Linked DNA regions of Anolis sagrei. The protein of the gene in region 1 interacts with the protein of each later gene in a pairwise test. Links are inferred from orthologs where the notes say so. Each region holds a gene or a part of one and is shown in the gene's direction. Other genes may lie near its edges.

Region 1 (3,751 bases):
TCTACAAACCCACCAAGAAAATCCAACAAATGCTACGTTCAGCAAAGGACAAGAGGGATCCTCTCACCTCTGCAGGAGTCTACCGTGTACCATGCAGCTGTGGACAAGTCTACATAGGGACCACCAAACGCAGCATCGCCCAGACACGCATGAAGGAACATGAAAGGCACTGCAGACTACTTCAACCAGAGAAGTCAGCCATAGCAGAGCACCTGGTGAACCAACCTGGACACAGCATATTATTTGAGAACACAGAAATGCTGGACCACTCCAACAACCACCATGTCAGACTACACAGAGAAGCCATTGAAATACACAAGCATGTGGACAATTTCAACAGAAAGGAGGAAACCACGAAAATGAACAAAATCTGGCTACCAGTATTAAAAAAAATCTAAAATTGCAACAGCAAAAACAGCAGAGAGAAAAACAGGCAGGGACATCTAATCACCTTTCAAGAAGAGTTTGCTCCAGGCACAGTCAGCCCATTGTATGCTAATCAAGGTGGTCAGTTGAAAGATCCACACCTAGCCCAACTTACAAAAGCCCTTTGTCTCACCCTGGTCATTCCACAGATATATAAACCCTTTTTTCCCCAGTTTCAGCAGACCTCACCTCTGAGGAAGCTTGCCATAGATGCAGGCGAAACGTCAGGAGAAATGCCTCTAGAACATGGCCATATAGTCCGAAAAAACCCACAAGAACTGAGTGATTCCGGCCATGAAAGCCTTCGACAATACATTAAAATTACATTTTTATTTATATAGAGATATGCATGCACATTTATATATAAATATATATATAAATATTTATATAAAAATAATTATATATATAAATGCATGCACATTTATATATAAATATATAAATATAAATAAACACACACATATATATGTAAATTATATATATATTCATGCACATTTCTAATTCTCAGTCATGTCCCCAGTTTGCAGGCGACTCCTCGTGAGGTCTATTTTTTGCCACAAACAGCAACTCAAAAGACAAAAAAAAAAGGGCAAGAGGGAGAGAGGCGCGCGCCACCTACGTCAACGCTGTTCTCCTGAGGACGCGGGGCTCGCGCGCTCCTTGTTTGGGGAGGCCTCCCTCGGCGCAGCCAATCAGCGATCCGGGGGAGGGAGGTGGGCGTCTCCCTCCCAGCCCTCCGCCTCTATAAAAGGACCAGCCGGGCGGAGGGGAGGCTCAAAGCGTGGTCGCCAACCTTGGAAGCTTGCTGGATTTCCTTGCGGGGATTATGCAGAGTGCAATGTTCCTGGCTCTCCAGCACAACTGCAGCACGATGGAGAAAAACGCCAGCCTCTGCCCGAGCAAAGAGGAGAAAAAGGGGAAGATGAAGAAAACTCTGTAAGTGTGCAGGAGGGGGAGATGGGAAGGGGCTTCCAAATGCTGACATAGCGACTAAAATGATCAAGGGTCTGGAGAACAAGCCCTATGAGGAGCGGCTTAGGGAACTGGGCATGTTTAGCCTGAAGAAGAGAAGGCTGAGAGGAGATATGATAGCCATGTATAAATATGTGAGAGGAAGCCACAGGGAGGAGGGAGCAAGCTTGTTTTCTGCTTCCTTGGAGACTAGGACGCGGAACAATGGCTTCAAACTACAAGAGAGGAGATTCCATCTGAACATGAGGAAGAACTTCCTGACTGTGAGAGCCGTTCAGCAGTGGAACTCTCTGCCCCGGAGTGTGGTGGAGGCTCCTTCTTTGGAAGTGTTTAAACAGAGGCTGGATGGCCATCTGTCAGGGGTGATTTGAATGCAATATTCCTGCTTCTTGGCAGGGGGTTGGACTGGATGGCCCATGAGGTCTCTACCAACTCTTTGATTCTATGATTCTATGATAGCAACTAATGCGGGGTCAGTCAACTTGAGAAACTGCAAGTCGCTTCTGGTGTGAGAGAATTGGCTGTCTGCAGGGAGGTTACCCAGGGGACACCCAGAGATTCCATCTGAACATGAGGAAGAACTTCCTGACTGTGAGAGCCGTTCAGCAGTGGAACTCTCTGCCCTGGAGTGTGGTGGAAGCTCCTTTGGAGGTTTTTAAGTAGATGGCTATCTGTCAGGGATGCTTTCAATGCAATATTCCTGCTTCTTGGCAGGGGGTTGGACTGGATCTGTAGTGTAGATGCACCTCAAACAGCCCGAACAGGGTTGTGGTTGATAGCAGGACAGCCTGTGGCATGTTGGGGACCAATTTGGAAAATCCTATTTTAAGATACAGTTGGGAAAGGTCAGGTTTGTTGTTGCCAAACTCCTTTGCTGCAAAGTAAACCCAGGAGAAAGAATAGCTCTGGATCTGGTTGGGAGGGATTGAGTTACCTGCATCATATTTGCAGCCAATCTGTATTTCACAACTTGGGGTGCTTTTGCTGTATTCAGGCCCCTTCCACACAGCTGAATAAAATCCCACATTTTCTGCTTTGAAGTGTGGACTCGGATAACCCAGATCAAAGCAGATATTGTGGGATTTTCACCCTTGATATTCTGGGAGATAGAACCAAAGAGTTGGAAGAGACCTCATGGGCCATCCAGTCCAACCCCCTGCCAAGAAGCAGGAATATTGCATTCAAATCACCCCTGACAGATGGCCATTCAGCCTCTGTTTAAAAGCTTCCAAAGAAGGAGCCTCCACCACACTCTGGGGCAGAGAGTTCCACTGCTGAACGGCTCTCACAGTCAGGAAGTTCTTCCTCGTGTTCAGATGGAATCTCTGGGCGTCTCCTGGGTAACGTCCTTGCAGACGACCAATTCTCTCACACCAGAAGCGACTTGCTGTTTCTCAAGTTGCTCCTGACACGACAAAAAAGAAGAAGATGGAATTTCCTCTCTTGTAGTTTGAAGCCATTGTTCCGCGTCCTAGTCTGCAGGGAAGCAGAAAACAAGCTTGTTCCCTCCTCCCTATGAATTCCTCTCATGTATTTATACATGTCTCCTCTCACTCTTCTCTTCTTCAAACTAAATATGTCCAGCTTTTTAAGCCACTCTTCACAGGGCTACTTCCAAGCTCAAAGGAGTTACTTGGAGGGCAGAGAGTCCCTTGTAAAATCTTGCAGTTTAACTAAAGATTGCACCTCTTTGTAGAGATAGGGTTGATCCTTGGATTGTCGAAGGCTTTCATGGCCGGAATCACTGGATGTTGTAGGTTTTTTCGGGCTATATGGCCATGGTCTAGAGGCATTTTCTCCTGACGTTTCGCCTGTATCTATGGCAAACATCCTCAGAGGTAGTGAGGTCTGTTGGAAGTAGGAAAATGGGTTTATATATCTGTGGAATGACCAGGGTGGGACAAAGGACTTTTTTCTGCTGCAGCTAGGTGTGAATGTTTCAACTGACCACCTTGATTAGCATTTGATTGTCTGGCAGTACCTGGAGCAATCCTTTGTTGAGAGGTGATTAGATGTCCTTGTTTGTTTCCTCTCTGTTGTTGCACTGTTCTAATTTTAGAATTTTTTTTAATAATGATAGCCAGATTTTGTTCATTTTCTAATCACCAGAACACCTGGGGACCCACAGGTTGAGAACCACTGTTCTAGAGGCATTCTCTCCTGACGTTTTGCCTGCATCTATGGCAAGCATCCTCAGGCGAAATGTCAGGAGAGAATGCTTCTAGAACATGGCCATATAGCCCGAAAAAACCTACAACAACCCAGTGATTCCAGCCATAAAAGCCTTCGACAATACATTGTAATATTGATAGTTTCTTTTTAAGGAAAGGGAATACAGTGTGTTGAAGGGTTTCCT
Region 2 (3,751 bases), on another chromosome or scaffold:
CCTTCTTTCCTTCTCCTTCTTCCCTCCTTCTCCCTCCTCCTCCTTCCTTCCTTCCTTCCTTCCTTCCTTCCACCTCTTCCTTCCTCCCTTCTCCCTCCCCCCTCCTTCCTCCCTGCCAGGGCCGTAGCCAGAAAACTTTTTCGGGAGGGGTTGAAAATTTCACGGGGGGGGGGGGGGGTTGAAACCAGCCTCTTAGCTCACACTGAAGCAAAGAGCACAGCAGGGGGGAGAGCAGCCTTCAATAGCCTGCAGCTCTGCCCCTGTCAACCACCTCCACCAAGTCTGGCCTCCTTAATGGGAGCATTCATAGAATCATAGAATCAAAGAGTTGGAAGAGACCTCATGGGCCATCCAGTCCAACCCCATTCTGCCAAGAAGCAGGAATATTGCATTCAAATCACCCCTGACAGATGGCCATCCAGCCTCTGCTTAAAAGCTTCCAAAGAAGGAGCCTCCACCACACTCCGGGGCAGAGAGTTCCACTGCTGAACGGCTCTCACAGTCAGGAAGTTCTTCCTTGTGTTCAGATGGAATCTTCTCTCTTGTAGTTTGAAGCCATTGTTCCGCGTCCTAGTCTCCAGGGAAGCAGAAAACAAGCTTGCTCCCTCCTCCCTGTGGCTTCCTCTCACATATTTATACATGGCTATCATGTCTCCTCTCAGCCTTCTCTTCTTCAGGCTAAACATGCCCAGTTCCCTAAGCCGCTCCTCATAGGGCTTGTTCTCCAGACCCTCTTAGTCGCCCTCCTCTGGACACATTCAATACAGACACACCCAACTTGGTTGCTTCACTACATCGGCTATTCCTGCAAGTAATGACAGTGTGAATAAATTGTCAATATTTGCTTGAGATGATAGTGCTTGCAGTTCTGGAGAGACTCTTAATTTTTTTGCATCTCATAGACTTAGCATGGAGTTTTGGTTAACCAGTTAAAATTCATGAGTAAACCAGGTTTTTAAAAAAATCTGAAACATTTCGGGGGGGGGTTGAACCCCTAAAACCACCCCCTCGCTACAGGCCTGCTCCCTGCCTTCCTGCTCCTTAGACTGGATCACGTTTGGACAGTCGGCAAAGAAAACAAAGCCTTTGAGAGAGAGTGTTGGGAGTCCCCTCGAACTCGGTCTCCTAAGAGTCCTTGGCCTTGAGCCATGCCAGTGGAGGGAGGGCGGGAGGGAGGGCCAAAGTGCAGCGTCGGCGCAGCCCTTGCCTCCTGCTTGAAGGCCCCAGCTTGACAGTGGAGTCCAGAGCTCACATCTGGGTCAAAGCGCCGGCCACATCGTCCTCCTTAGACAAGCATTGGTTCCAGGAAGTCGTTTTGGCACTTAATAGCCTCCCGGGGGAAGGATATGAGTGTGACACCCAGGAGAGGCCGGCCAGCCAATCAGGTGGCGCGTCGGTGCGTAGCAGTGCGCCACTCTCAAGCGTCCGGCTCGCTCGGGTGCCTGGAAGCGGCAGTCATGGCGGCTCCTGCCTGGGGGAGCCACGTGTGGGTGGGCGCCGAGACGGGCCTCCTGAAAGGTAACCGGGAGCAAGGACTTCTTGGGAAGGAAGGAAGGAAGGAGGAGGAGGGAAGAAGGGCGTTTCTGTATTGAGCGTGTCAGGAGCGAATTGAGGATACAGTTGTAAGGTATTTCAAACCACAAAGTTAAGAACTTGGCCTTGTACTAAACGTGCTTTGACCAGAAGCTGGCCACTTGGAGTGCCTCTGGTGTCGCTGTGAGAAGGTGCATGTGGCAGGGCTCAGGTTGCAGTGTAGGAAGTATTTATTTATTTATTGTGTCATCCGCAACAAGAACATTGTATTACATTTCTAACAGAACAAAACAAACAAACAGATAAAAAACAAACAAAAAACCCCACAAATTTTGCAAACTTGGTAGCTGATTAAATGTCCTTTGACCAGTATCTGGCCCCTTGGAGTGCCTCTGGTGTTGCCACAAGAAGGTCCTCCATTGTGCATGTGGCAGGGCTCAGGGTGCATTGCAGCAGGTGGTCAGTGGTTTGTTCCTCTCCACACTCGCATGTCGTGGATTAAACTTTGTGGCCCCATTTCTTGAGGTTGGCTCTGTATCTCGTGGTGCCAGAGCGCAGTCTGTTCAGCGCCTCCAAGTCGCCCAGTCTTCTGTGTGCCCAAGGAGGAGTCTCTCATCTGGTATCACCCACAGATTGAGGTGCTGGGTTTGAGCCTGCCACTTTTGGACTCTTGCTTGCTGAGGTGTTCCAGCAAGTGTCTCTGTAGATCTAAGAAAACTATTTCTAGATTTAAGTCGTTGACATGCTGGCTGATACCCAAACAGGGGATGAGCTGGAGATGTCTCTGCCTTGGTACTTTCACTATTGGCTGCATCTTCCCGGCGGATGTCAGGTGGTACAATACCGGCTAAGCAGTGTAATTTCTCCAGTGGTGTAGGGCGCAGACACCCTGTGATAATATGGCATGTCTCATTAAGAGCCACATCTACTGTTTTAGTGTGGTGAGATGTGTTCCACACTGGGCATGCATACTCAGCAGCAGAGTAGCATAGCGCAAGGGCAGATGTCTTCACTGTATCTGGTTGTGATCCCCAGGTTGTGTAGGAAGTGGTCTGTGTTTTCTTCTTCTCCACGTTCGCACATATGGAGAAACCACAGGCCACTTACAACAATGCAGCCTGAGCCCTGCCACATGCACCTTCTCGTGGACTCCACTTAGTACCTCCATTTCTTGAGGTTGGCTCTGCATCTCGTGGTGCCAGAACGCAGTCTGTTCAGCGCCTTCCAAGTCGCCCAGTCTTCTGTGTGCCCAGGGGGGACTCCCTCATCCGCTCTCAGTCACCAATTGACAACCTTAAGAAATGGGGCTACAAAGTGGAACCCATGACATGCGAGTGCAGAGAAGAGCAAACCACTGACCACCTGCTGACCAGCCTGAGCCCTGCCACATGCACAATGGAGGACCTTCTTGCGGCAACACCAGAGGCACTCCAAGTGGCCAGATACTGGTCAAAGGACATTTAATCAACCACCAAGCTTGCAAACTTTGTGTTTTGTTTGTTTGTTTGTTTTTTTGTTTGTTCATTTGTTAAAAAATGCAATGCAACTGTTTGGTCTGCTCCTGACACGATAAATAAATAGCCTGGTGTTCCACACTGGGCATGTGTAGTCAGCAGCAGAGTAGCAGAGCACAAAGGCAGATGTCTTCACTGTGTCTGGTTGTGATCCCAAGGTTCTGCCAATTAGCTTTCACATGGTGTTGTTTCTAGCACCCACTTTTTGCATGATATTCAAGCAGTGCTTCTTATAAGTCAGAGCACAGTCCAGAGTGACTCCCAGGTATTTGGATGTGCTGTAATGCTCCTGTATGATTCCTTCCAATGTAATCTTCAGAGCTTGCGATGCTTGTCTGTTCTTAAGGAGAAAAGCACATGTCTGCATTTTAGATGAATTAGGAATCAGCTGGTTTTCTCTGTAAGAGGCAGTAAGAGCTCTTAAAGATTCAGAGAGCTTCTGTTCAACCATTTCTAAGCTCCCTGCTTGAGCGGTAATGGCACGATCATCAGCATAGATGAAACTTTCTGTCCTGTCTGGCAGTGGCTGGTCATTTGTGTAAATGTTAAACATTGACGGAGCAAGCACACTCCCCTGAGGCAGGCCGTTATTCAGTCTTCACCATCTGCTTCTCTGACCCTGGAACTCAACAAAAAAGCCCCTGTTTTGTAGCAGATTTCCACCCCGAGTCCCTTCAGGGAGATAGAGCAGAATATAAATTAAG
Region 3 (3,751 bases), on another chromosome or scaffold:
ATTGATCAATCCGTCCATTAACTGATTAATTGATCAATCCATCAATCAATCAATTGATCAGTCCATCCATTGACTGATTCATCAACTGACTGAAAAAGTGTTTTGTATTGGGAGACCCTTGTCCTATGATTCGTATTGAAGAGTTAGGACAAGGGATCAATCAGTGGATCGATTGGAATAGTTTTAGGGAGGATTGGAAGAGGGAGGAGCCAAACTCTGGCTTGGTTTATTAACAAAGAAAGCTTTATAGGGAAAATGGGGGGAGGGAAGAGTTTCTTTTCCTTCGAGGATATAATAAATATCGATTATCTATTGATTGATTCAAAAAAGGCCACTTATGGGGCATAAACGGCTTTTTTCCAATCTTAAGAGGAGATGAGGGGGAAGGGAGGCCTACGAAAGCCGTTTCCCTCATGTTTTGGGGTAAAAACGGAAGGAAAGGGGGGAAATCAGGGGTGCGGGGGGGTATACGGAACAGCCCCCTGAAAGCGCGGGGGGAGGGAAGGGGGAACAGCCCCCCCGAAGGAAAAGAAATCGGCCCTCACCTCCGCCGCCGGAGCCGGAGCTGCCACTCCTCGTCTCTCCCGCTCCCGATTGGTTGGCATTGGCCACGCCCCCTCAGGAGGCGGGGTTGAGGCCCAACGCTGCCTAGTGGTTGCCTCTCCTCGTCGTTTGCTATTGGTTGTGGAGGGAAAATAGGCCACGCCCCCGAAGAGGCGGAGCGGGCAATTCTTTTCTTTTGGAATCCTATTTTAAGGAGACATAGAGGTGCCTACGAGATGGCTTATGTGTTATACTTCCGGGTGCCGATAGAAAAACGAGGCGCCATTTGCGAGGCGGGAAAATGGAAAGCAACTCTTTCCCCCTCGGCTTTTCAAACGAAACCCGAAGTGTTAGATGTCTGTCTTAAAGGGAAAGGGTAATGAGTGTTCCGATTGGTGCGTTCGCCTGCCATTTGGCCCCCAAAGACCCGCCCTCTCCATAAAGGCCATTGTAATTGGCTGGCTGGGAAAGAGCGCCCCCTCGAGGAAGAAAGGCCGAATGACGTTTGTTGCTAAAGCAAGGCCTCGCGGCCCCGCCCCTCTTGAGACCAAGCCACGCCCCTAAATAAAGGGGCGTGCCCTCCTTCGCCTCCTGGTTCGGAGAGGGAAAAAATGGCTGCTACGCGGAAGCTGGTTTTGGAGGCTCTTCGGGGCAGAGCGGCCTTTTCCTTTTCTAGCCTGGGCTTCCGGTAGGAATATATGTTATATACACATATGTTACATACATGCAGCAATACTCTTAATATGTTTAGGAATAGATTTAATATATTGGGCAATAGTATTAGGAATAGATTTAAATTATATTCAAATAGTTTGACTATATTGGGGAATATATCTGATGTATTTAGGAAACATTAACAACCTCAGATATGCAGATGACACCACTCTGATGGCCGAAAGCGAGGAGGAGCTGAGGAGCCTTCTAATCAAGGTGAAAGAAGAAAGCGCAAAAGCTGGGTTGCAGCTAAACGTCAAAAAAACCAAGATTATGGCAACAAGAATGATTGACAACTGGAAAATAGAGGGAGAAAATGTGGAGGCTGTGATAGACTTTGTATTTCTAGGCGCAAAGATTACTGCAGATGCAGACTGTGGCCAGGAAATCAGAAGACGCTTACTTCTTGGGAGGAGAGCAATGTCCAGTCTCGATAAAATAGTAAAGAGTAGAGACATCAGACTGGAAACAAAGATCCGCCTAGTCCAAGCCATGGTATTCCCTGTAGTAACCTACGGATGTGAGAGCTGGACCTTAGGGAAGGCTGAACGAAGGAAGATAGATGCTTTTGAACTGTGGTGCTGGAGGAAAGTCCTGAGAGTGCCTTGGACTGCAAGAAGATCCAACCAGTCCATCCTCCAGGAAATAAAGCCCGACTGCTCATTGGAGGGAAGGATACTAGAGGCAAAGTTGAAGTACTTTGGCCACATCATGAGGAGACAGCAAAGCCTAGAGAAGGGAATGATGCTAGGGAAAGTGGAAGGCAAAAGGAAGAGGGGCCGACCAAGGGCAAGATGGATGGATGGCATCCTTGAAGTGACTGGGCTGACCTTGAAGGAGCTGGGGGTGGTGACGGCCGACAGGAAGCTCTGGCGTGGGATGGTCCATGAGGTCAAGAAGAGTCGGAGACGACTGAACGAATGAACAACAACAAATTTAGGAATAGATTTAGAAACAGGTGTAATATATGTAGCAATACTTTTAATATATATTATATAATATAAATATATGTAATATATATAGGAATAGATTTAATATATTTAAGGTATTTAGGAATAGATTATACACACACACACACATATATACATATATCAATACTTTTAATGTATCTAGGAATGTAATATATTGAGGAATATGTTTAGGAATAAATTTAATATATATATAGCAATACTTTTAATATATAATATATATTGTATAAATATATATTATATATTTAGGGATATTTCTAATATATTTAGGAATATATATATAATACAGCAATACTTTCAAGGTATTTAGTATCTAATATATTTAGGAATATAAAGTAAAGGTTTCCCCTGACATTAAGTCTAATCGTGTCCAACTCTGGGAGGTTGTGATCATTTCCATTTCTAAGCCGAAGAGCCGGCGCTATCCATAGACATCTCCAAGGTTATGTGGGTGGCATGACTGCATGGAGTGCCATTACCTTCCTGCAGAAGCTGTACCTATTGAACTACTCATATTTGCATATTTTCAAACTGCTAGATTGGCGGAAGCTGGGCCTAACAGCAGGAGCTCACCCCACTCCTCAGATTCGAACCACCAACCTTTCACTCAACAAGTTCAGCAGCTTAGCGGTTTAACCTGGTGTGCCATCAGGGGACCCATTTAGGAATGTATTTAGGAATATGTATTATATATAGAAATGGAGCCCCCGGTGGCGCAGTGGGTTAAAGCACTGAGCTGCTGAGCTTGTTGATTGAAAGGTTGCAGGTTCAATTCTGGGGAGTGGCGTGAGCTTCCGCTGTCAGCCCTAGCTTCTGCCAACCTAGCAGTTCGAAAACATGCAAATGTGAGTAGATCAATAGGTACCGCTCCGGTGGGAAGGTAACGGCGCTCCATGCAGTCATGCCAGCCACATGACCTTGGAGGTGTCTACGGACAACGCTGGCTCTTCGGCTTAGAAATGGAGATGAGCACCACACCCCAGAGTCAGACATGACTGGACTTAATGTCAGGGGACTACCTTTACCTTTTTATAGGAATGCATTTAGGAATATATATATATATATATATATATATATATATATATATATATATATACAGTCTCTCTCTCTCTCTCTCTATATATATAGAGGAATATATCTAATATATTGAGGAATACATTTAATATATATAGCAATACTTTTAATATAATTAGGAATATAAGTGATATACTTAAGAACATATTTAGGAATGTATTTAATATTCCTAAATTATTGCTATATATAGCATTACTTTTAATATATTTAGGAATATATCTAATATATTTAGAAATATATTTTATATATATTGCAATACTTTGAATGTTTCCTTTCTCTGTATCAAAGTTAATGAATGGCCCGCTTCAGGCCAAAGGTTTCACCCAAGGCCAATGGGGGTGCATTTCTACTTGATTTTATGTTATGTTTATATTATTCCTAGCTTTTATTATTACTTTATAATATAATATTATTATAGTATAGATTTCCATTATGGTTATATTATTTTTTAC

Evidence for each region.
Region 2: the proteins of RGS2 (region 1) and WDR74 interact in a two-hybrid assay, tested with the Homo sapiens proteins (2 studies listed by BioGRID and IntAct). The link is inferred for Anolis sagrei from reciprocal best matches to the Homo sapiens genes RGS2 and WDR74.
Region 3: the proteins of RGS2 (region 1) and NIPSNAP1 interact in a two-hybrid assay, tested with the Homo sapiens proteins (2 studies listed by BioGRID and IntAct). The link is inferred for Anolis sagrei from reciprocal best matches to the Homo sapiens genes RGS2 and NIPSNAP1.

What each region holds. Positions count from the first base shown.
Region 1 is NC_090024.1:116,337,830-116,341,580, reverse strand, and holds the start of RGS2 (regulator of G-protein signaling 2), read left to right. Parts: upstream 1-1,179; 5' UTR 1,180-1,249; coding exon 1,250-1,359; intron 1,360-3,751. UniProt on the Homo sapiens protein: Regulates G protein-coupled receptor signaling cascades. Inhibits signal transduction by increasing the GTPase activity of G protein alpha subunits, thereby driving them into their inactive GDP-bound form.
Region 2 is NC_090032.1:12,450,313-12,454,063, reverse strand, and holds the start of WDR74 (WD repeat-containing protein 74), read left to right. Parts: upstream 1-1,410; 5' UTR 1,411-1,457; coding exon 1,458-1,518; intron 1,519-3,751. UniProt on the Homo sapiens protein: Regulatory protein of the MTREX-exosome complex involved in the synthesis of the 60S ribosomal subunit. Participates in an early cleavage of the pre-rRNA processing pathway in cooperation with NVL.
Region 3 is NC_090034.1:48,743,415-48,747,165, reverse strand, and holds the start of NIPSNAP1 (protein NipSnap homolog 1), read left to right. Parts: upstream 1-1,119; 5' UTR 1,120-1,154; coding exon 1,155-1,231; intron 1,232-3,751. Other genes in the region: NF2 (merlin), read right to left, coding at 546-605.